Drosophila melanogaster: one gene and its partner. The protein of the gene in region 1 purifies or fractionates together with the protein of each later gene. This does not show direct contact. Each region holds a gene or a part of one and is shown in the gene's direction. Other genes may lie near its edges.

The links.
Region 2: the proteins of mst (region 1) and CCT1 purify together in Drosophila melanogaster (affinity purification with western blotting; one study listed by BioGRID). This does not show direct contact.

What each region holds. Positions count from the first base shown.
Region 1 is NC_004354.4:21,382,564-21,398,550, forward strand, and holds mst (misato), read left to right. Parts: upstream 1-6,413; 5' UTR 6,414-6,448; coding exon 6,449-6,529; intron 6,530-6,584; coding exon 6,585-7,314; intron 7,315-7,373; coding exon 7,374-8,287; 3' UTR 8,288-8,970; downstream 8,971-15,987. Other genes in the region: slgA (sluggish A), read left to right, coding at 1-164, 231-405, 467-820, 887-1,064, 1,137-1,342; Ddx56 (DEAD-box helicase 56), read right to left, coding at 3,293-3,728, 3,787-4,215, 4,411-5,162, 5,223-5,288; lcs (la costa), read right to left, coding at 14,280-14,717.
Region 2 is NT_033777.3:22,477,533-22,493,348, reverse strand, and holds CCT1 (chaperonin containing TCP1 subunit 1), read left to right. Parts: upstream 1-1,909; 5' UTR 1,910-1,933; exon of another isoform or gene 1,934-1,997; 5' UTR 1,998-2,017; coding exon 2,018-2,090; intron 2,091-2,327; coding exon 2,328-2,481; intron 2,482-2,536; coding exon 2,537-3,427; intron 3,428-3,490; coding exon 3,491-4,046; 3' UTR 4,047-4,244; downstream 4,245-15,816. Other genes in the region: tHMG2 (testis-enriched HMG-box-containing protein 2), read right to left, coding at 1-86, 331-333; tHMG1 (testis-enriched HMG-box-containing protein 1), read right to left, coding at 1,042-1,422; CG5376 (uncharacterized protein), read left to right, coding at 4,467-4,664, 4,716-5,138, 5,199-5,267; Pfdn5 (prefoldin 5), read right to left, coding at 5,371-5,568, 5,630-5,839, 5,957-6,055; Nrx-1 (neurexin 1), read right to left, coding at 9,493-10,502, 12,223-12,574, 13,584-13,819, 13,896-14,246, 14,304-15,061, 15,122-15,269. UniProt on the Drosophila melanogaster protein: Molecular chaperone; assists the folding of proteins upon ATP hydrolysis. Known to play a role, in vitro, in the folding of actin and tubulin.

The sequences.
Region 1 (15,987 bases):
GTAATCATGCGCACACGCAAGTACATGGAGGATATGGTGGGCGGTCAGGGCAATGTGCTGACTCACCACAAGACCATCAAGGATCTCGAAAAGTATTACGCCACGCTGGGCGACAATAAGGACGTCAAGGAGTTCCTGAACAATGTAACGTCCGATAAGGAGGGGTTAGTCCGTTTATATTATCTAATCTCTTACCGATCTGACTTTATATGCTCGTCTATCTCATCTAGAATTTTGCATTTGTTCCCCTGGTCGGGCATTGTTGACGAGGACTCGCAGCTGAGCGACACGTTCCGCGTTCCCGATCCCCAAACCGGACAGATGCGTCGACTGATCTCACAAATACCGCCCAAGGAGGAGGAGATGTTCAGGAACATGATCCGTCGTCTCAACACGATTGTAAAGGTAAATGGTTTTTTTCACTCTAGCTGTGAAATCGTACTGATATGGTATTTCCAAACCTCAGGCTGCTGCGGACTTGGATGTGCGTATCATGGTGGATGCGGAGCAGACTTACTTCCAGCCGGCCATCTCCCGTATCACCCTGGAAATGATGCGCAAGTACAACAAGGACAAGGCCATTGTCTTTAATACGTACCAGTGCTATCTGCGCGAGACGTTCCGCGAGGTGAACACCGATCTGGAGCAGGCCAAGCGCCAGAACTTCTACTTCGGCGCCAAGCTGGTGCGCGGTGCCTATATGGACCAGGAGCGGGACCGTGCCAAGTCGCTGGGCTACCCGGATCCGGTAAATCCCACGTTCGAGGCCACCACGGACATGTATCACAGGACGTTGTCGGAGTGCTTGCGACGCATTAAGGTGGGAATTTGTGGACTTTGGTTATAAGTGATTATAAATAAACCAAGTATTTATTAATAACCTCAGCTGATGAAGGACTGTGATGACGATGCCAGGAAGATTGGTATTATGGTGGCCTCGCACAACGAAGACACCGTACGATTTGCCATCCAGCAGATGAAGGAGATCGGCATCTCACCGGAGGACAAGGTGATCTGCTTCGGCCAACTGCTGGGCATGTGCGACTACATTACCTTTCCACTGGGTCTGTTTCCATAGCCTACCCCTTTCACTTGTCTTCCATGTGTTTATAATATGTGTTCTTTCAAACCAACAGGTCAAGCGGGATACTCGGCGTACAAGTACATACCATATGGCCCAGTCGAAGAGGTGCTGCCCTACTTGTCTCGTCGTGCCCAGGAGAACAAGGGTGTGCTCAAGAAGATCAAGAAGGAAAAACGCCTGCTGCTCTCCGAGATTCGGCGCCGTCTGATGCGTGGCCAGTTGTTCTACAAGCCCAAGGGCAATTACGTGCCCATCTAAGCTGGCCTAGATGGATGGAATCACTCTCACCCACACACATCCCTGAGGCGGCAAATCGGTTGCCAATTATATCCGGCTGAGGATATCGCCAGGAAATCGATCGCTTCGGACCTATTTTAATGTTTTTTTTTGTCGTTCTTATTACTCTAACGAAATTTCCGTATATTCAAAGTATATACATATATAAAAACTTGTGTATATACCAAGATCCTATAAAAGAGCGGCAATGTGTTGTCCTGCGAATCCGCAGGACCTTCTTCGCCCACAAACAACTTCAATTAGAGACGGTAGCACTGAGCGGTGGTAATTTTTGATGAAAATATGTATATTTTTACGTCATGTTGCAACAATAATCTAAACAAGTTCTGTATGTGTGTTACAAAGAAAAAAAAAATAGAAAAAAACCAACTGAAAAACGTCAAAAAAGTAAGAAAGCGAATGTGGGACTTCCACAACGAGGATTTTGAAAAAGGGGATTGAATTGAAGCGAACATTTTTTAGCATCGTAACAAATAAAGCATAAAACGTATGGTATATACATATTATATACAATATAATGAGAGCAAACGTTTATAGAGATATGTCTACATAGATACATGTATGTGTATGGCTGCATTTTAGTCTAGATTCATTAACTTCGTGATTGTGCCTGTTCCTCAGTATCAGTTTATCAGTTGTTAGTTGTCCATTCTTCATTTGCAATGTGATTTCATGTTCGTTTTCCCTAAGTTATACCATAAACTATATATTTATATAGAGCAATGGCAGCGAGTTATGGAGTGTGCAGAGCATTTGTTCCTCCATCTCGTGGCCATCCGATCTAAAATAGTCAAATAATACTGTTCATAGGAGCCTGGGATAGCCAACCGCGCATACCTATACCTAAACCTAGCGAGTTTTATTACGATTATGCTAAATTAACTTAAATGTTTACGTTTAATTTAGCACTTAACGGAGCGATATTATAAAAGTCATTACTATGATAGTCGATGGATTAGAGCCCGCTACAAAAACTCTCCCCCTATTTTCAATACGTTTCAATATCCATATCTGATTTCGCGTTTCGATTTCTCAGACAACAACAGATATAGACAGTCAGACTTGGCCATATACTAAGCCGCGCAGATCGAACCGACTAGTTTTTCATTATTACCCTCATGATTATTATTGTATTGCATAAACGCTATAAATAAATGAATAAATAATTGTATGAATGTTAACTATTTCAATGACAATAATAAAATGTTAAAAACGAATACGCATGCATCGCTTATATTTCGCCCCTAATGGTGATCTATTTTTCCTGGGACTCTCGGTGTAATGGACTTTAAATGGTATCCAGCTGCTGCATAATCGTCGCTGTGACCTACGGAACTACTGGCACTTTGGGTAATGTGACTGACTCGTAGATATTTTTTATTTTCATTTTCCGTCCGCTGTCAGAAAAGTTGAGCAAATGATATAGTGCCTTCTGCCTCTATTTGGGTAAGTGGTTACCACTTACCGCCACCCGAACAGCGGCCGTTTTAAGCATATACTTGTCAAGTTTCTGAGTTTAAAAAGACATTCACTTACTTGCTTATCGGCTGGATAAGTACAAACATACACATTTGGCGGGCATGCAAATAAATATATATATATCATCGATAGAGTTAACAAACTACATTGTTAATGTGCATGTGCAATTGGTTATTTTTACAGCCCTATTACAAAATTCTAAATTAACAGAATTTTCATATATATAAAGAAAATAACCTGGGTTTGTCAATCTGCAGCTATCTCCAACATAGGTATATTTTTCGTTTAATTTTACTCATTTCTAATTTAGGGTAAAATAACATTTTTAAAATTCCAAACATCTTCAACGGCCGCTTTTATGTTTGGCTTACATTAACAATATTAACTTTATTTCCTTATTGACTAATGCGACTATAGATACCATTTGCTACCCTACAACGCCTTCTTTTTTCTCCGGTGGGCAGGACGCCGTTTCCCGAAGTCCACCTGGCTAGCCATCAGAGGATCATTGACCTGCCGCTCGAAGGCAGCCTTGGCGGCCGACTGTCGTGGCTGTTTGGCTTCCGAGGCTCCGACAGGGGAAGAGGACGTTCCAACCACTCGCTTCAGGGCCTTTGGCACTATGTACTCGGGCATGTCAGAGAGATGACTCTGTACCTTGATGGCGCGCAGAGGCTTGTCGTGCCGAAGCGCTTGCAGATCGCGTTTGTTCTCCTCGAAAAATGCCTTTAGTTTCTCGCAGTTGAGGATCTCTATCTTTATCTCTCGAATTCGAGTGTCGTGAACAGCTACGCGAGTTGCGGCCCGCCAGCAATCCTGAGCACGATAACGGAAGGACTCAACTTCTTCCATTTTAAACTGGTAGTTCCTGAAGTGATGGCACACTTAGCAATATTACAATTTTGAAGATGTTATTCTATACTCACTTGATGATCTGTTCGCCCTCTTGGGCTGCAAAACTATCGCACAGTTTCTTCTCAACTGAATCGTTTACCTTGGACTCCTTCATGCTGACAAAGGACAAGACGGAGCCCTTGTTATTTCCTCTAGCCGTCCTGCCAGCCCGATGGATATAAGACGTGACATCCCTGGGGAAGTCGAAGTTGATTACGTTGTTCACGCACTGAAAGTCAATGCCGCGGGAAGCACTCGACTCCATGTCGCCGCTTCGAGGAGATTTTCGGTTAGTCGCTGATTTGCCTCCTGGCTTTTCCATATGATGTTCGTCGGAGGCAATGATTATGTCGTAGGTGCCCTTGTTGAACTGGCTAATTGTGTGGATGCGAATGTTGGCAGGCAGCTCGGAGTTCAAGACACAGGCACGGATGCCGAACTGCTCTAGGAACAATCGAACCCTGAAACATTTAAATGGGTAATAATTAGAACGAATTATAGTAAGTATTTAGGGGCGGATGGGAATGCCGTCAGCGAGAAGATTAGTTGCTGGTCATGCGTGCGCCAACTGTTGCCAGCTGCCCACTCCCTGCATTTGTGGTTTAATCATCATTGGCTCCTGTGCATCTAAGGCGGGATTCGTATGGTTTACTCACTTGTAACACCGATCGATGCTGTTCACAAAGATTATGCTCTTGCCGCGTATGAGTCTCAGCTTCAATAAGGCGTACAAGATAGCCGGTTTATCGTTTTCCTCAGCCAGAATGCGCTGGTGCGACAACTGATCTTGCGGCACCAACTCCGGCTCCTCGAGTTTAAGCGTAACCGGGTTGTTCAGGCACAGGCCTTTCATGCGCACCACATCGTCGGTTAGAGTAGCGGAGACTAGGACAGCCTGGTAGATGGGAGGCAGGTGCTTAATCAACCGCTTGAAGTCCTTTTCGTAGCCATAGGCAAACACCAGATCCGCCTCGTCCACCACCAAGGTCTCCACATGCTTCAGATCCACCACGCTACCAGCCTCGGCGTAGGCCAGCAAATTGGCGGGTGTGGCAACCACAATGTCGGGACTTTCAGACAAGGCGTGCCGCTGGGTCACCGTGTCGTTGGAGCTATCGGCAATGTCCGCCACGCGTACAACCTTGCCGCAGGACTCGACCAGCTGCTCGATCACCTTACGGGACTGCCGGCATAGCTCCTTGGTGGGCGCCAGGACCACAGCGCTCACATACTGCTCGCTGGCGTTCAGTTTGGAGTTAAGGATCTTCTGAATCAGTGGCAGGGCGTAGGTGGCAGTCTTGCCGGATCCGGTGCGGGCGCGCACCACCACATCCTTGCCCTCCAGAAGCAGCGGTATCGCCGTCGACTGGATAAGTGTGGGCTGCTGCCAACCCAGCTGGGCCACCGCCTGAAAGATGAGCGCAACACTTTAAAATCTGGAACTGTCGGTCGCAAGCCGGGCACTCACCTTAAGGATGCGCTGATCCAGCTCCAGCTCGTGGAATTGCACCGTTTTCTGGGTCATCTGGCTCATGGTGGGCGACGGTATAAAAAAAAACGCTGGAAAATGCGCAGCGCACGTTTTCTGGCCCAACAAGAAAAAGAGCGAGGCATCGGTCCATTGAATTATCGGCGACTTTATCGGCTTATCGATAGTTGAATTAAACAGTTATTGAAATCTACTTTTAAAGGTAAGCAAATACCTTTAAAAAAAATTTAATATATTCCATTTATTAAATTAAATAAATAAAAAGAGAGAATGCCATAGTCGAGTTCCCCGACTATTAGATACCCGTTACTCAGCTAGTGTGAATGCGAACGCGAAATTTCATCATTTTTCTGGGATATCAATAGCTAATTGGGGAATAAAATTAGAAAAAATTTATAAAGTTTGGCTAGATCGACTCGGCTCCTAATCCTTAATCCTGATCAAGAATATATATACTTTAAATAGTCGGAAATGCTTCCTTCTGCCTGTTACACAATCTAGTATACCCTTTTATTCTACGAGTAACGTGTGTAAAAATCAGCAATTAAATATTTTAACTTAACATTGTATAGCACCTTAACTTCTTTTCTAGTTTATTAGAGAAATCTCATAATTCGCTCTTTTCTGACTTATTTATCCTCCGTCTGAATGGATATGTGAATCTATGGGAATCGACAATTTCTTTAAAAATACGTTTAAGCCGACTTATAGCTTCTTCTTTCGGAGATCCTATTTATAAGGTTTCACCGTATCGACCGAAAATAAAATCCGTTGCAATCCAATAACTAAACAATTGGAGCCACAAACGCTACCGTTCTTTTTTGAGATTTTACCGTATGACTTGATAAGTTTGCAATCGGCTTTTGCGGGTTACATATTAAGGTTGTTATGCTCTATTGTAAAAATTCCTCGTATTTCTTATGTTTTTTTTCTCAATGTGATAGACATTAAGGTCATATCGATATATTTACATACATAAGTAAAATTAATAAACATAACATATTCCTATAAAACTTTCAAAATATATAAATCTTTTTTGCAGTTATAAATAATATTTTTAAATATATTTATTTTTAATACAGAGTATCCAATCAACGAAATTAAGAACGCTTATTACCGCACACAGCTATCGATATATCCGCGAAAATCGATAGTTCCGCGGGCTCGCGCAATTGCATCCGAATTAGTCACTTTCGCCGGCTGTTATGGACTATACACGTGAAATTTTGACCTTCCAGTTCGGAACGTACGCGAATTACGTGGGCACACACTTCTGGAACCAGCAGGTGAGTTGTCCTACCCACTTGGCAGCCGGGAGCCTCACGAATTACACATTTCCAGGAGGCCAACTTTAGGTACGGAGACGAAAGCGAACAGGTGGCCGAGGAGCAGCTGCCCAACAATGATATTTTGTACCGTGAAGGGCGCAACGACCTCAATCGTACCACCTACACGCCCCGCCTGCTGTCCGTGGATTTGTCCGGGACCCTGGGACATCTGCCGGTGACCGGCGAGCTGTACGGCAATTTTGTGCAGCGTGATGAGGAGTTGCTGCCCCTGAGCACCGGAGAGGAATTGGAACAGGTTCGCAAGCGGGCAGAGGAGAGCGGCGTATGCTCACCGGAGCAGCTGGAAGTGCAGGAGCAGTCGAAGGCCTCCATTTCCGAATATCAGCGGGATCTGCTCAAGAATGCTGTGGTGCCCGAGAAGAACTATCAGCTGGCAGCGACGGCAAACAGTTGGGTGGACTTCCTTTACGCCAGGTATCACCCGAGAACCTTGAATGTCTTGCCGGGGCTGATCCGAGATCCGACTGCCCAAGCCCTGGGTACCTACTCTGCCGGAACAGAAATGTGGCAGGAAGTCTCCTTCAACGAGGAGTTCTGCGATCGTATCCGTTTGTATGTAGAGGAGTGCGATGGCCTGCAGGGCTTCCACGTGCTGTTCGACATTGACGATGGCTTCGGCGGACTGGCTGGGAAGTGCCTGGAGCACCTCAACGATGAGTACAGCCGGGCGAGTTTCGCGCTGCCACTTCACTATCCCAGGATCACTAGTTATCCCCAAGCGGGTAAGTAAGGTGATTTTTAAAGAAATCTAGCATATTAACACAGTTTGCCCAATTCCCAGATACCCGCCTGTCGCACAGCATTCGGGTGGTAAACAATGTGTTGGGCTACCACCAACTCAGCGAGCAGGCTTTGATGTTCACGCCGCTATCCACGCTGGAGACCATCTGGCGAAACAATAATCTGAAGTCGCGCAGTCTGCCGGGACTCCAGTGGGAGACGGATAACCTCTACCAGACATCAGCGCTGCTGGCCGCCTTTTTCGACACGGCCACCTTGAGTTACCGCCTGCGGCAAACGCCAGAATCTTTGCTACGCTTTTGCGAATGCGTCACTCCAGCGGGCAGAAAGATGACCGCCGCTGGATTGGCTCTGCCATTTGGGCTGAGGGAGGGTCAGGATCTGATAGAGTTTCTAGACCAGAGTGGCGACCACGCGCTGCTCACACAACTCACACCGGGCTGTGAGCCTGGCACATCCTACGTGGTGCAATCAGTGACGGCTCGTGGCATTCCCGCGGAACGTTTGAAACGGCCCAGGGAGCTGGCCGGCGATCAACTTCGGATGGCTGCCTATAGCTGCGATAGTATATCCCATATGCTGCAGCTATACTACCAGTGCACCTATCATGGAAGTGTTACAAATGCGGCAGCCACACCACTGCCACTAAAGACACAGCTACCTTTTCCTTATGAAATGTTTGCAGCCGGTATATCACGCGATGGCTACCGCTTGCCTGAGGGGGCGGAACGCGAGACGGGTAGTCGTGTGGATTCGGCACCCATGCTGGCCGCCGTACAGAACTCCACCAAGCTGGGCGAGCATCTGGACAATGTGCACGCCCAATCGCATCGAGTGCAGCTGGCCAAGTTGCAAGCGTACTCTAATTCTGGATTGGAGCGGGATGAGTACGATACGGCGCTGGATCAGCTGCTTGAGTTCCGCGACCTTTACGCAGACTCGCAGTATCTATAGGATGCTGTGGTTTTGGAAACTAAGATTTTGTGATAAGCCTAGGATTATGTACACAAAAAACACTCGTATACAGTCGAATTCAAGATGAATATGTCATTTTATATTGCCTCCGAATTATATTTTCGTTTAGTTCAAACGACATAATTTGATTAGTTCTTGTGCATTTATTTCTGTTAAATTGTAATTCCCTTAGAATTCCTATATCTCTTTTATTTTTACGACTCTCGTGAAGATTGTTGTAACCAAACTCAACCTATCGATGCATATATTATTTGCTTAGCTTAAAATGTTCTCGAAACCATTGTTACGGCCTGTATGTATAAGCTTAATGTGCCATGCTCCTTGTCCTCTAAGGTGTCAGGTTGGTTAGCTTTACCCGGAGCGGAAGTTGATGGGCTGTGGCCCCACCCGCGGCACTTTGTGATTGGCAGTCTCGGAAGCGGCTTTGATATTTTCGCGTTTCCAGGAAAGCGAGGAAAGTAAAAAACAAAACAAAACAAAACAAAAACAATGTTGTCTGGGCAGAGAATTTTGAGAGTCGTCAATGAAGTTTCTAATAACGCAGAATGGTCGAAATGGCCAATTTGATAAGTATTTAAAAAAAATGTTTAATTCTGAGCGGTAAAACGTTTGTGACTACAAGGTCTATAATTACATCGATTTATATCTTTAGTTTCTCAGCTGAATTCTTGGAATTTATCTGCTGTTAAAAACCTTGTCTTAAACTATTTGCTTACTATAAACATTTTGATTGGCGTACTAATGTTAATGGTGTTAAAAAACATTTTAGGGATAATATGTAATAAAAGGTGTTTGAGCTTGGAAATCGTTAATCTCATTATATCTCATAATAAATGTTGGCTTTCATCGTTAGGAAGTTATTAAATTATGCGTGCCGGATGGGCTATTTCGCCCACTGTGCGACCATGACGACATGGACGTGCCTAAAGAAATCGGTGAATTTTTATTTGCATGGCAATCAATTTTTATTCCTGCTATCCTGGAAAAGGCCAGGGGCATATTAATTTATTGAAAAGGTCTTTATTAAAAAGGATAGACTCTATAGTCAAAAAACTGAACTAACTGTTTTGGGACTAATGAGTTTTTACTTGCACTAAACATAAATTAAAGGGATGTGTGCTTTTATTTCTGAATTACTTTTATCTATGTAATTTGTCAGCTTTTTTACAGATTTTCTTTTTAAAACTCTTGCCTTTATGAAATATAAAAAAAAATATAAAACAATCGCTATGCTTTCATATCAAACACAAATAACGCCACGGACCTACGCAACCACTGGGTAACCGGAATTCGGTCTTTTGAATTGGTTGCCATCTTCTCCGTTGACCCCAAGGACCCTTCCTGGTCGACTTCACCTTTCCGCGACGTCTACGTGCGGCTACTGGCCGCTTTGTTTAACCTTAACCCTTACGGATCGGATCGAATTGGATCGGGAGCTGGGCCGCTTAATTTATACGAAAATTTATTGTCAATAAAGCGGCAGTAATTGAAATCTCAACGGGAGTAAATCACAATTTTATGGACTGCTAACGGGCGGCGACTAGGTGGATGGGATTGGGATTGGGATTAGGGCCTGGAGAAGGGGGTTCATAATTTGGGCGAGTGTTTTCCGTTTGCCGGTCAAGTTTTCCGCACCAGCCCTGCGTCCTGCGTCCACATTGTTTTGCAAATTAAATTTCAATTTGATTGGCACCGCTCCTTTAACATTCTGCCGTCTTTTTAGCACAGGTCCTTAAAGCAGCTGCTGTTCTCTAGCTGCTGCTGGTGTACTTCCGGGGAAAAAGGACCAAATCCGAAATTAAAATTACGCCAACGACTTTAATGGAATATGTGCGTGGAATTCGAAATGCCAAATTGAATAGCCTGCCGAGCTAGTGGAGTGTATATATTTCGTATATTGTTTTTTGCAGCTTTTAATTTTGTTTCGTTTTCGTTTTCATTTTCGATTCGGACCGGTCCGGTCCGGTTCGGTCTGCATGTGAATTGGGACGAGTCCTTGCATTAGCATGCAGTCCTGTCACTGCACATCCAGCCGCCACTCACTCCACCTGCAATACATGTATTTGATTAATGTGGGCTGCACCAGCTCTGATCCAAACACTGGGCCACTCACTGGGTGTCAACTTCTGTAGAATTTAAATTTAATAATCAGGCAGATCTTTAAGCGCCTGGAATGTGGGCATAAAACCAGGCGAGGCATGTAAAATAGTTTCATTTTGTAGGCCAAATTTGCACAGCTCCAATCTAAAACGTAAAAGAAGAAGTTAATATTTTAACTGGGACACAGGGACACTGGGACACTGGTAGGTACACTGAGAACGAAATGCATAATTGCATTGGAATTTAATGTCATCATAAATTCGTAATTATTTAAAACTCAAAATGCCTTAAACCTGAAGTTATTCAACATGCACATATGTATGTAAGGAATGTTGACGGCTGTATCCGGCAGCTAGTCACCTTCCAGGTGGCAAGTGTCAGGAGCGCTAATGAGCTTGGGTAGGAAGAGAACACTGTGACGAGTTCTGTACGGATTTCGGAGGCCAGAAATGGGAGCCATTGGTGGATTACTTATGGATCGCTCTACATTGATCCAGATCCTATGATCGAATAAGACACCAAGATCTGGGACAGTGTCGGTGGGTTCTCTGGTGCAGTTATGTGCTAATACGTCGCGAGCCTGATCTAATCAGTATTAAGCAGTAGCTTCTTGGCTTGGCATCAGGAACGATGGTTATTGAAGTCGAGCTGGAGCTGCTTGTAGAAATTAAGCGAGTCTAAGTGCATACACAACTTAACTCACTCACTTGATCTAAGATGGTTAATAGTATTAGGCCAGTATAACTGGCTCGAGGAACTCATTGAGGATATGGTTTTAGATTGTACTAATTAGATTCGATTCATTTATAAAGGATTCCATATTAGCAAGGCTGAAGGGATTCCAATGACTTCAAGTTTTTGGATTAGTATGTGATGTGATGGCTATTATTTAACGCATAAAAAACTAGTTTTTTTTTTTTATAGGAATATAGGCATTTATTAAATATCAATAAAGTTGCCATACATGTTAAGATATATTTGTTAACATTTTTTCTTTATATAAAATTTCATTTCGAATTAGTTTTATTCAACAGATCTCGCTTTTAAGTTGACTATTATTTTTGACTCCACTCAGCTGTATGATTTAATGATTTATGATCAATCTATGATTGCGAGAATCTACCGCGCAATTTTTTAATCGGTTTCCAGGTTTCCCGATTTAGAGTTGACTAGTTGACTAGTAAAGTAAAGCACACAGTAATGTAATCCTAACGTTTCTCTCTGTATCCTGAGCTCCGTTATCCCTTTATCCCTTCGTTTTCAATTAGCTCCTTCAATTACTCAGTTGGTCAGCTACTTAAGTGCTCGGCTTGTTCGCCCACGCGGCAGTTGATTTTTAATTTCTGCCCGTCTTGGCAGCCCCCATCATCCGCACCCGGCTATATCTGTGGTTCCATCGCCGTCTGGGCACTTCATCATCCGGCGAAGGTACTCGGAGGCGGCGTCCGACACTCGGCTCCCGCGGCCAAAACAAACTTAACAAAGTTAGCTAAATTTGGCCGAAGGCGTCATTTTAACTGCCGCTTACTACCACCCACTCATTCGGCTGCCACCCACCGCCCTTCGATGTCGACATTTCAATGCCTTTTTAATCTAGAACAAAAGCAAACTTAATTTGCCACAACATCTGAGGAGATAGCAAAAGGACGACAGCAGAGGGCCAAAGGAGGGCTAGCACGGGAATGCCATCCTGTATTGTACTCGGGGAAATTAGAGGTCTCGGCGGTTGTGGTAAGTAAACATTCTCAAATATACCCGTTTAACATTCATATATTTATGTGCACTAACTAGGTTGATGTATAGTGTAAATTTCGTAGTATATTTTACCATTCTATTAAAATTAATTTATTGCGTCAGGTGTAATAGTAATACATTTTTTCTTAACCATTTAACTAGGTTTATTGTTTGAGTGTATGCGAAAAGGAGAAGAGAACGATTGTGAGAACGTCACTTGGCACATAATTTAATTACAACAACACTTTTCGAGGCCATAGCCATCCAGGAGGCGATGACACTTTGAAGTTAACCACCCACCAGCACCCACAGCCCAGGCACCCAACCCATCCAACTACCCAACAGCCCAACCGCCCAACCGCCCAGCCACCTCCCCCCATGCGACTTCACCACTCAACTCCAGGAGTCGAGTGTTGAATGAGCAACAACTTTCGAGTGCAACGCGTCCTGAATTGTAATTAGTGCCCAGGAGCAGCCAGTTGGAGCCGAATTGGGGAGGGTTTTTTTGGCCAGTTCATTTGAAATGGGTACGGAAGGTATGGAGGGGCGCCTCCAGAAGATGGCTTCACTTGATTTATGGAGCGCGCGAATTTGTAATTGTTATTACGTGTAAATGCTCCACTTCAAAACAATCAACTCGCTTCTCGTTTGCCCCTTTTCACCAAACCGTATCCCAAATGCGGCATCCTGGCCATAAATTAGTTATCGGTGCTAATTGTTGAATGGATGAAGCGTGATTTGATAAGGACGTAACTGGTGGTAATTGAGGAAAAGACAACTATCGTTGGCCCACTGCCGACCAGGTTGTCTACTTAAACAATATATAAGGGGGGAAAAATTATCAGATTTCAATCAAAAATAAGCCGCTACAGCATTCGACATAAAAACAAGAGGGAATCTTATAGTCGAGTTCGTAGAGTTATTTTCGATAAAATATCGAAAAATGGTTCAAAAATGTGGCCGTGGCAGTTTTGTGCGGTTTTAGGGCGTTAGAGTGGTCGTGGCAAAAAGTTTTTTATTGTACATCGATAGGAATTTACAAGACTAATAAAAATGTAAAAAAATTGTGGGCGGCTATTGATTCTGATCAAGAATATATATACTTTATATATTCAGAAGCGAATGTACATACTGTATGTATGTGTATATGTATATATGTATATATACACAAATTCTTCTACATGCTATCTACATGCTAATACTAATGAGCCATAATGCTTTAAACTGTCACAATCATATACACTTCAATCGTTCCTTATCACATACAATTTATTGTATAATACATATCATTCCAATCCAAGAATGCAACATTTTGGAGTGGCTTATATTCAATATCTAAAGTAACCAGAACTGAGAAATAGCACGTTACTCATACACATACATTAAAGTGTTTTTTTTTTTCAAATTTCTTTTTATAAGAAACCGTAGACCTGGAAACACATCCTGAAAACAAGAGTATTTATTAGAGGACACCCTAAACGCCTTTGTTCACTGGCACATAACCAGTTGAGTGAATGCGTGTGTGTTCGTTATGGCAAAGCCATAATCTTGTTGTTTTATAACTTTTAATGCCTCCTAATCCAGTTGCTGCTCCTCGGGCTCATCCTTTTAAGCTTCTGTACCTTCTTCTTGGATTCCACTAGCGCCAGTTCTGTCGCAAATTGACCAAATGCACTTAATTGGTAAACAATTTGGCTTTCACCCAAGCGAGAAACGAGGCCGGCTCGAATAAGTTCGATTCCAATTGGCCCGGGGAATGATTTGCTTCAAATTCTCAATGCACTTCCTAATCGCCAGTGGATAATTTAGCACTGGCATTGCATAATGCCATTTAACTAATTGTTCTAAAATTACTTAACTCACGAAAAGTTTTAGTATTGGCCGAAGTAATTAAATGGCTCGCGTGGTACTCGCATGTACCTTCTGGCTTGATACATCAAGTTGATCATAAGCCAAACATGGATGAAGATCCTTTGGATAACTATTTGGCATTCAAGGATTAACTTAGATAAAAAAATCACGATTGAGCTAAAAAAAAAAATTTATTACGCACAGATTCGCTTTTTGATATATACAATTATTTATGAACCCGGAATAGCCGAATGGGCAAAACTCGAAGGGGAACATGTCAAGCGATTTATTCTGTGGAGGATGCTGTGGATGATTCCGTCGAGGATTCCGTAGAGGACTCTGTAGTGGAGGACACTGTAGTGGACGAAGCTGTCGTGGTGGAAGTGCTTGTTGAGGCCTCAGTTGTCGTGGATGTGGTTTGGTTGGATGGAGGTCCCCATGGTTTGGGGCCTCCTGGTCCACCTGGTCCTCCTGGGCATCCTGGTCCTCCTGGGCCTCCTGGTCCTCCTGGTCCTCCTGGGCCTCCTGGGCCTCCTGGTCCTCCAGGTCCTCCAGGTCCGCGACCTCCTGGGCCACCTGGTCCGCCAGGTCCACGTCCTGGTCCTCCGCGACCACGACCTGGTCCACCAGGTCCACCAGGTCCACCGGGACCCCAAGGACCAGGTCCTTGGGCGGAGGCCACTGCGACCAGGGCAACAAGAGTAACAAGGATAAGGGTACGCATTTCGTTATCTGATAGTTAACGACTCGAACTGATCTCGGCATTACTTGGCATCGGTATATATACCCACCGTCTGCTAAAAGTCTCGGTGGCACATGTGTTCCATCGGTGACGTTTGCGCGTTGAGCAAACTAACGTCAGTGTGGATTTGTAAATTCCACTTTCCAAGTCAGTCACTTCGCAATTGACATTGGCCTTCACTCTGGGGTTCTGTCAGATGGAAAGAATATGAGTTTGTAGACAATGGTTGATTCATGTTTAGGTTTATTTCCAAAATTGTTGGTTACAAAGCTTTGTTAATGAGTCTATAAAAAATATATACTCTTCTCTATTTTTTCTGAATTTAATAAATTATTCATATTGAAATGGTACTATTACACATATTTGAAAATAAAGTTTTATAAAATTGAATGCTGGATAAATGCGTCTTAAAATCAATTGCATCTAAAACTATTTCAGTTCAGAACTTAACAATGCTTTTACCTTATGGTAGTAAAGTACGAATAATTTCTACCAGCTGTTTGGATTGCTTTATGGATCTTACATAAAGGAATCAGCAAGTTCCGTGAGCCATTATCTAGCTAAATATTTGCGCTCCATCCATATGTGATGAACTTTGTGGCCAGGCGTCAGTGGACTTGATGTTTATAAACCATCAATCGTGTCTTTGACAAGAGTGTGAATTACCTAAGAATAAGGATGTTTGAACAAGTGGTTCCGTTAGGCTTTAATGAAAGTCAAATTTGCAAACACGTAAAGTTGAAAACAACTAAGGAAAGAGAAATCGTAAGAAATTCTGGAAAGTCTATTATATAAATCTTTAAGTTGTTAATACTACAGAAATGACTTACTTAACATGAATTCAGTGCATTCTTACTATATGTCGATAGTAAAAAAATCCTCTTGGGGCTATATTACCACTTACCACTTATTAGTGCTTTACTCAAAACTCAATATAATGTGACGATACATCTATGTATATGCTTATGTACACTAGTCGGCATAAGTATTTTGACAATATAAACGCAGTAAAACTTTAAAATATTTTGATATGACAACAATGATTTTTGTTGTTGTGTGTAAGTAACATAAATTTAAAAATTAACTAACGAAACTTAAAAATATATAAACAATTTAATGAAATATGATGATTTTTTGTATTGGCTTAAAGTTTTTGACAAGCCTTTAACACCTCAGTAAATAAGTTTAATTGAAGCTGGAGCTTAGGAGTAGGGAACCAATTAATAAAATATATATCCACCTTTGGCATAAA
Region 2 (15,816 bases), on another chromosome or scaffold:
GCTCTTATGTTCTTGCGCCCGGTGGAATTCATCCACAACATGAAGGCGCTCATGGGTTTTTTGGGGCGTGCTCCGTAGTCTGACATCTTTATCGTAATAAATAAATGTTAAAAAATGTTTACTTTAAAAATTTAATTGGAAAATTTGTAGTAGATGTAAGAAATTCTACGATTTGGACTGAATATCGTTGAGATCCAGACGAAACTAAAAATATCTTACAGAGCACATGATAAGTAATGCGAAATCAAAGTCAATGCCTACTGAATAGTTTTAATTTATTATAGGGCATATTTTTAAGGCACCAATATTTAGTATTTAAAAAAGCGTTACCATGATTTTCAACCAGGGCTTCCAAAACAATCGGTTATCGGTTTCCAGCAATATCTGTAAGGTGGCTTTGAATGTGCTGCTGAAAAATACTGTATAGCCTGGATTAATTCCGCGAACTTTGTGAAAGTAAGAAAAGTTAAAAACTCGCGCTAATTAGTGCCAGTTTGAGTAGGTAATTACAAATAACTTTCCATTAAAAATAGTAAATAACTTTCACTGTTTTCCCTTTTTTTTCTGCGCACACCACATTGTTAATTGAGTTAAAAGGCAAAGTTTTAATTTATGTTCCTGCCATGCAATCACGTTTTCACTTTCCCAGCCGTTCGTATTCGTAGGCCATAGCCACTATAGTAACTCATTATGCATGTAACACGGCATACTTTGTGCGATCTTTAAAATTCAATAAGGTAACTATGAAAAAAGGACCCCAAACCGTTGAAACGCTGATGGCTAGCGAGTTTTTCATTCGTTTTCCCTCTTTTTTAACAAGCCGCCAGCAAAGTGCTTTCACAGATTTTTGTTGGCCATACTGGTCCAAGACCCGCGAGATAGGACATGGAAAACTTGGAGAGTACAGCCAAGCATTTTCGGCTGATGGTGCGCTTCTGTATGTATGCTACGAAAAGTGTTAATATTTAAATTTATCAAAAACAAATTTATATTAGCTTGTGGATTTTAGTACAACAATAAATTAACAAATGTAGTAAACGCTTAGTGAAGGCACCTGGTCTTTGATAAGCACTTCCTGCAGATCGGAGTCATCGAGTCATCCATGGTGTCGTACACAAAAAGGGTGGGGCATTGGTTAGTATTTGAGGAACAAATACATTGCGTGTCCGAAAAGCGGTGCTCCTTGGGGAAATTCCACTGCTTCAACTTCTCCTTGTACTCGGCCATTGCCGTGGTGGCCGACTCCTGCCACACGATCTTGTCCTCATCGGCCATGGCTCGCCACATCTCTCCGCCCTTCACAGACACTTCTTGGACACTAAAATCGGGATGCTCCGCTTTTATGTGCTTCCGCCCGGTGGAATTCATCCACAACATGAAGGCGCTCATGGGTTTTTTGGGGCGCGCTCCGCAGTCTGACATCTTTATCGTAATAAATAAAAGTTAAAAAAAATGTTTACTTTAACAATTTGTTGTAGATGTAAGAAATGCTTCGATTTGGGCTGTATATCGTTGAGATCAAGAGGTAAACTGAAAATATCTTACAGAGCACACGATATGTAATGCGAAATCAAAGTCAATGCCTACTGAATACTTTTACTCCATCAGAAAGCACAATTTTATAATTAATAATTAATAATTAATAATAATCTTGAATTAATATTTAAAAAACCGTTACCTGATGCTCAACCAGGGTTCCCTAAACAATCGGTTATCGATTACCATCGATACTTTGAACGCCGCTTTGAATGTGCTGCAAAATATGCCTAATAATAAATAAGCCAATATATGTTCTATATATTTTTGATGCTGCGCTAATGTAACACATAGTATAAACTTATAAATGTTATGGAATCCTTGCTCTCCAAGAAAAAATCTTGCACTCGATAGTATCGAATCGACATCGGGTTTTTGTTCATCTCGAAGTCTTAAAGTGAGTCAGGCGGTTTAACGTGCGGTTTTTCAGCGTATTTGATTTATCTGTTTTTTATTAAAAGTCGCGGAAGAACTTAGGAAAATGTCGACCCTGGCCTCTCCTCTGTCCATTGCTGGCACCCGCCAATCCGGCGCATCGGTGCGCACACAGAACGGTGAGAATCCCGGGGTTTTGTCAACATCTGCGGTGCGTCTGCCGGCGGAGCACGTTTCTTACTCATCGCGGGTCACGCTCTCCACGAAGAATGTTCCGGAACCAACCCGGGGGAGGGCGATCTTATTTTAATTGGATTAACAAAAAAACTCATTGAATCCAAGGAGCTACAAGATCCTGTGGACAAGCCTATGCGAAGTGAGGTTATGACTACAACTCGGCTTTTATATGCTTTCAGTTATGGCCGCTCTGTCCATATCGAACATCGTGAAAAGCTCCTTGGGACCCGTGGGTCTGGACAAGATGCTGGTGGACGACATCGGCGATGTCACAGTGACCAACGATGGAGCCACCATTCTGCGACTGCTGGAGGTGGAGCACCCGGCAGCCAAGTGAGTTGTTGATGTGGGAAATCTTTCAAAGAAGTACTCATTTCTAAATTTTAAGGGTCCTGGTTGAGCTGGCTCAGCTGCAGGACGAGGAGGTCGGCGATGGCACTACCTCGGTGGTTATCCTGGCCGCTGAGCTGCTGAAAAACGCCGACGAGCTGGTCAAGCAGAAGATTCATCCTACCTCCATAATCTCCGGCTACCGCATTGCCTGCAAGGAGGCCTGCAAGTACATCTCGGAGCATCTGACCGCTCCCGTTGATGAGCTGGGCCGCGATTCCCTGATTAACATTGCCAAGACCTCGATGAGCTCCAAGATCATTGGTGCTGACGCAGAGTTCTTCTCAGCCATGGTTGTGGACGCTGCCCAGTCGGTGAAAATCACAGATCCCCGTGGGCAGGCAGCCTATTCGATTAAAGCCATCAATGTCCTGAAGGCCCATGGCAAGTCTGCCAGGGAATCGGTGCTGATTCCCGGCTATGCCTTGAACTGCACAATTGCCTCCCAGCAGATGCCCAAGAAGATTGTGAACGCCAAGATTGCCTGCCTAGACTTCTCGCTGCAGAAGACCAAGATGAAGATGGGTGTCCAGGTCTTGATCAATGATCCCGACAAGCTGGAGGCTATTCGTGCCCGTGAGCTGGACATTACCAAGGAGCGCATCAACATGATCCTCGGAACCGGTGTCAATGTAGTACTGGTTAGCGGCGGCGTTGATGATTTGTGCATGAAGTACTTCGTTGAGGCTGGAGCCATGGCTGTGCGTCGTGTGAAGAAGAGCGATCTGAAGATCATTGCTAAGGCTACCGGCGCCGCCTTTATTACCTCGCTGACCAACATGGACGGTGAGGAGAGCTTCGATGCCTCAATGGTGGGAGAGGCCGCAGAGGTGGCCCAGGAGCGCATCTGCGATGATGAACTTATCCTCATCAAGGGCACTAAGGCACGGTAAGTGCAGATTATATCATGCAGTAACATAGTTTGCTTTATCGTATCCCTATGCCTTTTTAGTGCTGCCGCATCCATTATCTTGCGTGGTCCCAATGACTTCTACTGTGATGAGATGGAGCGCTCCGTCCACGACGCTCTGTGCGTGGTGAAGCGTGTGCTGGAGAGCAAGAAGGTTGTAGCCGGCGGCGGCTGTGTGGAGGCTGCTTTGTCGATCTACCTGGAGAACTTTGCCACCTCGCTGGCTTCCCGCGAACAGCTGGCCATTGCCGAATTCGCAAAGTCGCTGCTGGTCATTCCCAAGACTCTGTCCGTGAACGCGGCCAAGGATGCCACTGATCTAGTGGCCAAGCTCCGCTCCTACCACAACTCCAGCCAGACGAAGCCCGAGCGTTCGGATCTTAAGTGGACCGGTCTGGATCTGATCGAGGGAGTGGTAAGGGACAACAAGAAGGCTGGAGTTTTGGAGCCCGCCATGTCCAAGATCAAGTCGCTGAAGTTCGCCACGGAGGCCGCCATTACCATTTTGCGTATTGACGACATGATCAAGCTGAATCCGGAGGACAAGAGCGGCAAGAGTTACGCCGATGCATGCGCTGCCGGCGAGCTGGACGGTTAGACATTCTTCACCGCGAGCGAAGCACATTTCTTCTATCTTGTTTAGGCATTTAATTTTAATCAAATCACTCACTTTCAATTGTCGCCCCATTGATTGTAACAACAATTTAATTGTGTTGCCCTTCGCGATCTGTATTAACACCGCACATCCGCAATCCTTTCTCATCCATGCTTCAATGTATAATAAACTGATCTTCAGAATATGCTGAGGCGTAAACTAAATTGGAGGGAAACAGTTTGTTATTTCGGGAGAGCGATCTGGCCAAGAGCAGGCAGAGAGCGATCCGGAGAGTGGGATGTCCTATAAATAGAGCGTGCATCTATTTGGTCTATTAATACAAAAAGAAAACACATCCCAAAAAGCACGGAAAACGCACATTGCTCTACGAATTTTTATCATTTAAAAAGAATTCTTCATAAAATGGCCGATCATAACGAAGATGAAGCTGTTGGCGGTGACCTAAACAACAATATAACAGCAAATGGGCAGGAGGAAGTGCGTCAGCCGGAGCAGCCGCAGAACGAACTGCTGGACATGGTTTTCACGTTGGAAAGCGAAAAACAGGCACTACTAGAGGAGTCTCGCAAACGGATCGGAGCGCTCCGCAAAGACTTTGAGGTTAGTTACTCGTCTCCACGGGCTGCACCCACTTACTGACCCTGATTGCAGGAAGCCAAGGCGGAAAATGAGCGTTTAAAGCGGAGAGTGGTCCAGTTGGAGCAGTCGCTCAAGCAGTCCGTCATGCTGGGCGGCACAGATGCTCCCAAATCACGACAAGAGCAGGAGGAGCTGCTTCTAAAGGCCAAAACCCTGCTGTTCGAGAAGACCAAGGTGAACAAACAGCAGGAGCAGCAGATATCAGTGCTTAGGACACAAGTAGACTCGATTAAGGATGTGCTGCAGGTGACCAAGGACATGTTGCAGCTAAAGACCGCCGAATGTGATCACACGCAGGCTCGTCTGGAGAAGAGCCAGCAGTGGATCAAGGCGGAGCAAGACAAGTGTGTGCTCACGGAGAAGAAACTAGCCATCTCCAAAGGAGTGTATGACAAGCTGCGTTCGGAGTACGACACCCAGTCACAGATATTCAAGGTGCCTTATAACTCGAGTCCAATGATATACTTGATATACTATTACCTTCTTTCCCTACAGGATCTTAAGTCCGCGTACGAGCAGAAGGTCAAGGTTCTCACCAAGGCTTTGGCAGAAGCCAAGAAATAGCTGAACAATTTAATAAACTACGTTAATTAAATGCACACATCTCGTTAATAAGTTTAATAATTTAATGCTTTCCGTGTCTCGTGTCTCTGTCGTTCTCCGTAGTCTAGGAGCTCTGGGTAACCGCCGGCTGCGATTGCTGCTGCGACTGCAATTTCGCTGCAGCAGCCTGCTTCATCTCCAGCACACTCATCACTGAGTTATAGAAGCGCGTCTTTTGCAGGTGGATCTTTTCGATTTTCTCGATCTGCTCCTGCACGTACTCCACGCGTCGCTTGAAGTAGTCTTTGGAGCCTTCCAGATCCTGTTTGAGAAACAGATGGCAATCAATAAATATTCTAGGTTCGATTGGAAATGTAAATCACCTTTTCAATGTAGTAGCCGGTGCCGATGTCTATGACGAACCTGTTGAGATCCTTGACCCGTCCTGGCACATACATACTGCTGGTCAGGGGCACCAGGATCTGACGGTTCTCCCAATTGGGTTGAAAGGTTCCCAGCGCCTCCTTGGATCCGGCGTACTTGGCTTGACAGCCGTGAAGCGTCGACAGCGAGTCCTGTACGTTGGTAATCTCCTAAGGATCACAAAAATGTACCGATTTTAGAAGCATGTGCCAATTGGGGCGCCCCTCCTCCAGAAACCCCCTCCGCGAGCACACTTGACTCATCACACACCCACATGCGGAACGCACCTGCTCGAACTCCTGCTTGATCTGAATCAGCTGTTCCGGACTCAACTTGGTCAGGTCGATCATCTCGGACTTGGCGGGTGCGCTTGGGGTGGCAGCCATTGCTAGTGCTTACACTTATAATTTACAATTCCACTTTTATTTTATTCAGTCGCCGTATAAGGTTGCCACCTTTGCGTATTCAACTCAACAGGGATGTCATGAAGCTGGGTCAGAAAATATCGATTTCACGGAAGCAATCGGGAATCGAATGATTCGTTGAAATAGTCGGTAGTCCAGTCCCGCCGACGATTTGTTATCGAGTACTAAGCGCGAAGTAAAAATTTAAAAAAAAAATCAGTGACTTCTGAATCTACAATATCTTTTGAGTTTAAAGACAGATCTTACTCAGCAAAAAAGCATTAACCAAACTTGTTTTTCAATTATAGTTTTATTGTATTTATTATATGCAATGTTATAATTCTGTGTTTTGTCAGTCATTCTGTATTTGTATGCGTTTTACAATTTTTGTTTTTGGTTTTCTCGTAAATTATAAAATCTAACACAAAACAAAGCAATTTCTTTAACAATCACTGCCGCTACATATACACGTTACAATTTGTTAAATATATATATATTTATATATATATAAGTAGGCACAGCTCAAGCGCCGCGCATCCAATACATGTTCATATACATATTCTCTGTTATATGTGGGGTGTTGTATGTCGGTTTTTATATATGTATAGATTAGATAACAATGATTTTAAGCCTAAGTAGAAGTAAGTTTTAGTTCCGATACTTGCGATCGTTCCCCTCTATATGCGCTCCCACTCGCAATCGCTGCTCCTCCGATCCTTGAACTATTAAGTTATATGCTTTAACTATGTTATTTTACCCATACAACTAACTGTACTCGTCCTTCGCGATCCTCCCACTATATCATACATACATAACATTTACCTTGATTTGGTTTTGATCTTAATAAAATGTAATTCGTTTTGAAACAATGAAGAAGATCTTGCTTTTGAGGGCGTGTCGATTCGATTTCTTAATCGCGGATATTTTAAGCTCCCCATCTGGATTTTGGATTCAATATCGTGTGCTCGCTGTTAAATCGCAAGGCAAATTTGTATAATTAGTTATATATAATTTGGTTTTCTCTTGAATCGAAACGAATAAACGTTAGTGGTTTACTTTAAATGCAGAGTTTTCATTGTGCAGCATTAACATTGTGAAGAGATAGAGAGAAAGTTGTCGGGAGAGAGTGTTACATTTATAAGTGGGAATGGTTTTGGTTATCAACAGCGTTAAAATTTGTGGTTTCTTTTCGTTTGGTTTCATTATCAAATCGAAGGGACGTAATTCGTAATAATAATCATTGATCGTTAAACATACTCGTACGTTATATGGTATGCATGTATGTATATTTTGTATAGATGTACATTTATAAATAGTATAGTTTGAATGTATGCGTGTATGTCCTGTATATATAGTTGTGTTTATGTACTGTACTGTACTGTATGTACTGTATGTACTGTGTTTCGCTATGTACTTGTAATTGTAATTGTCCTAGGTGTTCATTTCAGCTAGATTCGCTAGTTTGTCTCGTGTTTTCGCTTTCGCTTCCTTTTTGTATACAAGATAAGGGTTTAAAAAACTCGAAAATATATCAAAAGTTTCTTGAAATGCAGTATATATATGTTTTTTAGTTGTTAAATATATATATATATATTCATGTATATATAGTACTTTCCTAGGTATTTACAGCATACCTTGCCTTGGTTTCCATTAAGAATTCGAGAGAAGTATGTCCAGTAATTTCGCTAGTGATCGAATGCGTGAGTTGGTGATTGTGTGAGTGAGGTGAGTGTGCGTGTATTAGTAGTAGTATATCGAGTGTATATAGGTATTTTGTATATCTAATCCAAAATGATACACTAATTGGTATTGATAGTGAGACAAAAATTTTAATATAGCGCATCAAAATGATATATGCGATTATTAATATGTATACAGAATTTAATGGCGGCTTGCTGAATATCGAATTTCGCGTCTATGTATGTGTGCTTGTGTAATAGTATGTGGGTGTAAGCTGTGAGTGTGCTGGTGACTGCTGATTGTGTATACGTCACGTGGGCTTCGAAAAATACGCTTAAAGCTGCTATAATACTGTAAAATTGTTGCTTGATTTCCTCATTAGTCGACGGTAAAGTAATGTTCGCTCACATTGAATAGCAGTTGTTGTAGAAAAGCTAGGTAGGTTCGCTTCAGTGTCTTCGAATTTTGCGTGTGTGTTAGAGTGTTTCGTGTGTAAGTGTGCTAGTGTGTGTGTCTTGTCTTTTCCTTGATATGTCTGAGTTCATATTGCACGCAGATCGGTGACAATATTTAGTCTCAAATACATATAAAAAGTATATGTGTGGGGCTCGGGAGTGGAAGGGACTAACTCAAAGTAGCATCGAGTTGCTGCACGCAAACGAAAAAGTCGCATCACGTATATGTCAACCAAATCGTGGGTTTCTACTGTTTCCTCCGTATTATCGTGTTTGATTTCGTTTCGTTATCCTTTAGGTTTACCACTATCTCATTTACATTTTAACTAATTAAAGCCGGTTTCAATTCAACAAACAATCTGTAGCATAAATTCTTGCATTCCCCGTCATCATTATTATTATTATTACTATTATTGTAGTCAACCAAAGTTTGTCTCCTACGTTTACAGCACCACATTTTGTAACTTTACACGCGAAGAAAAAACCCACTCAGAACCTCATTACTTTACGTTTACATATAAATATATATATTTAAGTACGTTTATATTGAATTTCTGCTAAATTGTTTAGTGGTTTCGCTAGAAGATTTGCAGTTTAATTAGTTTTGCTTTCGGTTTTGGGCCGTCTTCCTTCGATCTTTTCATAGCATACTTTGTGGCGAAATATTTTACACAATTACTTGATTGGCTAGTGGCATAATTTATCGTAACGCTGTGATATATATAATATATATAGTTTTATACGTTTAGTGTAATTTGCTTATTCGCTGATGGTTGTGGCTGCTCTCCAGTGGTAGTGGTATCTATTAGCAAGTCTTGAGTTGAAGCTATAATTTCTTAGGCGTAATCTAAACGTTACCTTTGCTGTGAACCAATGCTCCTGGCCAGATGCACTTGTCTAAAGTATTTGCGTGTCTATCTGCTATCTGCTATCGGTTATCTGCTACCGGCTATCTGCTCTATCTGCTTGCTGCTAACGTTATCAGCCATCGTGAATCGCGTGATGCCCACCTACCGAGCTGCGCAAGGCGCCATCTACATATTATTATCCTTCCGTCCACTTCCGTTTCCGTTTGTACACCCAATGTCCGACTGCGTCCGCTTCTAATTGTTTAATTAACGTTACGAGGCTGCTAAATAAATATATTTATATACGCTTATGTGTGTGTTTTTTTTTTTTTTTGTTTCTCGTATCTTAGGGGGACTTTTACTTTCACTTTCACTTTCGGCTCACTTTGCACTATTAATTGCTAATTTGACGATATTTCCCTGCGACCATGCCGCCTTACACATACCACTCCTTGACGTCCTTGGAGTCGCGTTTCTTGGCCTTCGGCTGCACCAGGCCCGCCATCTGGGGTCGCCCATCGCTGCCATAGCCAAGTGACCCACTTCCGCTGGACATCATGCCGCCACCGCCGCCGCCTCCTCCATTTCCATTACCATTGTGCCCATTGTGCATCTGCTGTTGGGCATGATGCTGCTGTTGCCCTGCACCTCCACCGCCTCCGCCACCATGCATATGGTGCTGCCGCTGCTGGTGGTACGATCCATTGGTGCTAGTATTTCCCAGGAGTGCAGCATTCGGATTGTGGGAACCGTAGGCGGCCGCCTTCTCGCTCTCCGTCTTGTAGCCACGATCGCCATTCGACTTGAGCCACAGGACCAGCAGGATGACCAGCACCACTGCGATCAGTATGCCCGCCACTATGCCGATTATCATGGCGGTACGCTCCTCCTCGATCGAGTTAATTCTGCCGCCCTTACCCTTTGGACGGTAGTTGTTCATGTTGGTGTTGTACGTGTTGCCGCCATAAGGTCCGTACGGAGGTGGATCTTGCGGCGGAATGGGTGGCGGCAACGGTGGCAGTGGGTGGTGCTCGTCCGGCAGCTGCATGCGATCGTGATCATTTCGCCCGGACCCACCCATGCCGCCACCAGCTATATAAATATCATAGGGCGTGGTTTCCCGCTCGGTGACCGTACTCCGGATCTCCGGTGGCGGTGTGGCTTGAGTGGTGGTCGTTGTCGTGGTCGTCGAAGTTGTACTGCTGCTCGTGCTGGTGCTGCTGCTAGTCGCCCGTTGCGTGGACGATGTGGCCACGCTGCTGGTCGTGCTCACCTGACCCGGCGTGCTGGCTGCCGATCCGCCGCTGCTGCTGCTGCTGCTCGACTGCGTGGTTGCGTAGGACGGAGTGCTGCCGCTGCTACTGCTGCTACTGCTGCCTTGGTGCTGCTCCGTGGTCACATCGCTGCGTCCCGTGGTGGTAATGGTCACCATCTCGTTGTTGGACTCTGCAAGCAGTCGGTTTGGGTTTATTCAAGTGTTCTCAAGTGGGGTGCTCTATACTTGTATGTTTGTTGCGAGTGTGTTTGTGCGCTTAGTGGTTGCATTGCTACCCTCGATATTTCTTAAAACCCCATTATTCCCCAAGGAATAAATGATATTTTAAATTTTCTCCATGGGTTCACAATTTCTCTTCCAATATGTAAGAATTTATTATAGAATTTTAGAAACTAATCATAATAAACGGAATCCTGATTCAAAGTGCTTACTTCGGAAACCTTTAATTGAGTCATCTTTCCCTCCCAAAAATCACTTGAACCGCCAGTTGTGCTTTGCTTTCAATAGTTTATTCAACACAGTTAGAGAGGATTAGAGATTTGTAGATATTGAGAGATATGTTGAGGTGTGTCATTGTTGTTTTGGGTGCTGGACCTTCGATCTATTCGCACGATATGTACAAATTGGAATTGGAAGAACGGTAGAGTTATGCAATCGAGGGAATAAATGTGGAGGAGGAGGAGATGGTGAATAAGGAACTGGACTGGGAAAATCACATCTTACACTTGCAGACGCTGCTTTTATCGCTACTATGTACAAAACATATACATCTTCGATCGGTGCACCCATATATACTATACATATATGTATATACGGTATATATGCAAGGTGGTGGGTGCATTTAACTTAACCCTTATCGCTTAACGCTTAACCCTCACTCAACCAAAAACCCTCGCCAATGATCGGTGTGGTTGTTGTTGTTGTGGTTCTGGCTGTTATAGTTGTTGTTGTTGTAGCTGTTGAAGTTGCATTTGTTATTTGCATTGGTTGCTGTTGCTGGTGGTTTAGCTCTCGTTAATGCTAGAGTTAGTCATACAGTTAGACAGAGGTCTAGTTGGAAGCTTAGCCTAAGTGCATTGCTTGCATTGGTTGCATTGGTTTGCTGTTTGCTTATGGGAATTTACAGAGTATCCATGGCGCGATCACAGTCAGAAATATGAAGGCGATTTCACATTCTGAAAGAGACACATAAGGCGTACTCGTTGTCAGTTCAAATTAGAAGGCAATCGATCATCGGCAACAGGTGGAGATGAAGGATATAGGCGACGATTGTTGCGATACTTTTCATATATATATATTTTTTTTGTTTTTTCTGGGCTGATCTGAGCTGAGATGACACGGCGAGTTGATTGATTTTGGTTTCTGGTTGGGTTGATGCATTGCGAGGGGTGCGATAGAGGCGATATCTGAACATATATTCATATATATTTATATATATATATATATTGTTTTATTGTGTAAGCGTTCAAAGCATTGGCGTTGCATTGGCAATAACCTAACTTCCTCGATCTCCGTGGAGCATTGAACAACTGAACTGAAAAAGGCAAAGCGTCACTAGCTAAACGGTTATGCGGTTATATAGAGCAAGAGCTTCGAATATACATATATATATATAGAGTATAACTCGAACTCGAACTCAAACTTCAACTTCAACTCGAACACAATTGAACCCACAGCTTAATCGTTAACACGTTATCTACGTTACTAGGGCGTATACTTAATGGCGTACACTTAACTTGAATTTCGAGTGGGGCTAGCTAATGTCTGTGATGAAGTGTGTGCGCGTGTGTGTGTGCTTGGTGTAGATTCTTGTTGTTTTTGTGTCTTTCCGTGATTGATCCAAATGCCAATGACAAAATGAGACCAACACACAACGCTGTAGCCACTCACCTGAACCGCGGGCGGTGCTCGTCGAGGTGAACTGTTCCGTGGTCTCGCCGTAATCCCCGGATCCATGGACGCAATCCTCGTCGTCGCAGGCACGCTCCGTGCCATTGGTGATGACACCGCCGCTGCTGCTCCCGCCGGTACTCAAGCTATTCCCCTGCTGGGACGTGGTTGTCTGCTTGGTGGGCGGCACGTAGACCGGTGTTATGAGATCATCCCCGCTACCCGATTCGAATGGCGGCGTGCACTCGTCCTCGTCGTCGCCGCGACATCCGGATCCGGCTCCCGAGAAGATCAGATCGTCCAGCGCACCCGGATAACCACTCGCCGGCGTCTGTCGAGTAGAGTTCAAAGTCTAATTTTACTTCAGTTGATCTGGCGGCAGCCGGGCCAAGCGATGGTTATTGTATGGGGTTTGTTAACTGGATTAGTAAGTTTGTTAGGTGCTGTTCGATTAAGTATATATGTGTGGATGGGTGTGGGCACATTAAGCCAATGGAGAAGCTTCTTTCAGATTATTATTTATTTAATTTTATGAGTAGGTCCATAGGTTCTTTCATTGGTTCTTTCTTCAAACTTTTCTTTCTCCACTGGCTATCACTTGCTTTTGTTTCAGTGTGAGCTTTGATTAGAGTCATGCAGCATAAGTGCGACGAATTCTAGTGCATAGTAAATTCGTATCAGTTTATATAGCTGATTATATATATTCACAGTTATTGGTTAATGTGCTGTGCAGCAATGGAAACAAATCGAGGAAACTCAAATGGCTGGTTAGTGAAAAATCTGGCAAATCTTAATTGGCTTTTGTTATTTGGTTGGTGCGTTCAAAGCGGTACATTAAAAAACGAAGGCACCCGAGGTAAATTATAAATTCATAAGTTCATAAATTCATAAATTCAAATGCAGCATTTACACTAGATTATACAGTTAGTTAGCTAATACTTTGGTTTAGTTGGAACGGTTAACGTTTGTACTGAATGTCGAACCGAATTTCCCGGATTTGATTGTGATGACGATGACTTCAATGTACAGATGCGGTTACATTCGATACGATTAACACGGATATGCATTTCAAATATCAGGATAGTGCTCGGGAACTGTACATTACGAGTATTCGAATGGGTTTTCGAATTTCAGTGGTGCAATCAAATCATGTCAAATCAATTTGGGAAAAGGGGTTCCACAACTCATGAAGCGGATTAATACAACAATTTTGGTTAGATTTCATTTTGGTTTCTTTTTTTTTTGTTTTGGTTTTTAATCAAAGAAAGAATTTCGAATAAACTTGGTTTACGATGAGAAAAATACTTGGAAAGTTGAAAGTTGAGAGGAATTCAAATAAAATTTCAAATAAATTCCCTAACCTGCTGCATTCTCTGCAGATCATTTCTATCTAATACTCCAGTTACCAATTGAACATCTCCACGGATGGTGATATGGGGGTCGCGTTCGACGGCCAAGTCCAAGATGCGTAACTTGTTCACCGAAAGTCCGGCAATCACGCCGGCGAACGGCCGCTCGATTCGATTGCGACCGTTCCGGCTGAACTTGCCGCCGACCTGAACGTTGGACATGGTATTGAACACGGTGGAGTGGTGGCCTGCAAGTCGTTGGAGAAGAAAGTTCGGTAGAGCATTAGATACCCCCTGTGCTGATCTATCCCCTTGTTTACTTACTCTGTGGCGTCAGTGCCTGCACATTGTAGTCGTCCAGTTGGAGCGTGGCATTGCCTCCCTTGCGCTGGAACCGCACCACATGGTAGGCGTTGTCGTTGACCTTCGTTCCGATCTCGCCCAGCGGCAAATCGACGCTTCCAATGTTGTACACCATGAAGATGTTGCCCTCCACTATCTCCAGCTCCATATAGTCCTGCGTGGTGGCACTCTCCACCCGCAGTAGCACTGCATCCGGCCTGGTGGTTATGAAGCCCAGTGCTATATTATCCTCCTCCGTGTCAGCTTGTGCGTTTTCCGGGAATGTGTATTGCACCATGCCCTTGTTGTTGCCAAATTCGTAGGCAATCGATTCTAAAGAGCATAATATATTATGAATCAAAGAAGAAGACAGTAGAATGTTTATATTACCATCATAGCAAGTGGGTCCTGTGTAGGAAGTCATGTCACATTCGCAGGCATAGGCATTCCATTGCTGCACGCAGTTTCCTCGGTTGGCGCACGCATTCTGGCTACACTTGGTGGGTCCCTCGCAGCCACTGACCACCAGTGAGCTGGGCACCACTGCATCGCTGGTCAGCGAGGGAGAGGCATCGCCCAGGTCCAGGGATGCCAGACAGCCTTCGAATCCGGACCTCGACGAGATCGAGGCCGGCAGCTTCGAGTACATGTCCTTGAAGACGCCTCCGATGTACAGGATACCCGCCAGCTCCAAGTGCATATTGTTTCCAGTCAGACTGATAATCTCGAAGGAGTCATCCACGGTTAGGGTATGCGTCTTGGGTCCCGGGCGCCTGATGCTGACCTGATGCCAGCGGTTGTCGTTCATGTGGATGCGCGACTTGTCCCTCATCGTCACTGGACCATCTCCCAGATCGAAAGTGTAGTGGATGTGACCATTGACCAGTTCCACTGCCACGAAATCGTTGCGTCGTCCGCCATTGAAGACGAGCAGACCATTGGGTTCCACGGTCTTGAAGCGGAAATCAATGGAAATGCTGTTGTAGGCCTTCAACATGGCCAGACCCACGTATGAGTGCTTGGAGCGGAACGTGGCTGCATGGTAGGGCTGTCCGGCCGGAGAGTTCACGAAGCGGGCAGTCAACTTGAAGGTGGCACTGGGCAGAGCCGAGAGCTCCGGTCCCAGACTCTTGACAATATCCAAATAGCTGGGTGAGAAGAGAACGAAATTGAGATCAATTCCTTAAGTATGCTACATCGATACCCACCGCTGGCCATTGAACACCAAGCCCTGCATCTGACCCACAAAGTTCGGCATGGTGGAGGTCATCTGGATCTCCTCCTCGGCGTGGAAGAGACCACCCAGGTGAACCGAGCGAATCTCCATGGTACTGTGGCGACCCAGAATCGTTTCGGCTGTGGAAGGAATATTTCCAAGAACAAGAAATGGATAAAACTCGGGGGCCTCGCCATGGGGTTTGTCTAGCCAGGATCGGCTTTGCTCTAAGTTGTTGACTAGGCGGAGTACCGTTAACATTGGTTACATATGGGTATACGTTTGGTTGGATAGATATATTGATATATATATATATATAGGTTGTTGGTACGAGTAGTATATGGAGTATAGTTGGTGACAAGAAGCACATACGCAAATGTCAAAGAGTATATAAGAGTATAGAGTAGATATAGGTATGCGGTTTTAGTAGACATAGATCTAGTTTTGTTGGTTCATAGATTTTTCAAGCATTTGTATTTTTCACTCGACAAGTGGCTGAATGTAATTGGAATTCAATTGGAGTATTGTTATTATTTAGTTGTTGCAGCTTGGTACATACTAAAGAAAGGTGCAGATTACATTACATACAATGTACTGGTACGGATAGTAATTGTAGTTGTTAATTAAGACGAAACGAAATCGATAATCGAAAATCGCTGCCACAGCGCAAACCAAAGGAAAGTAAGT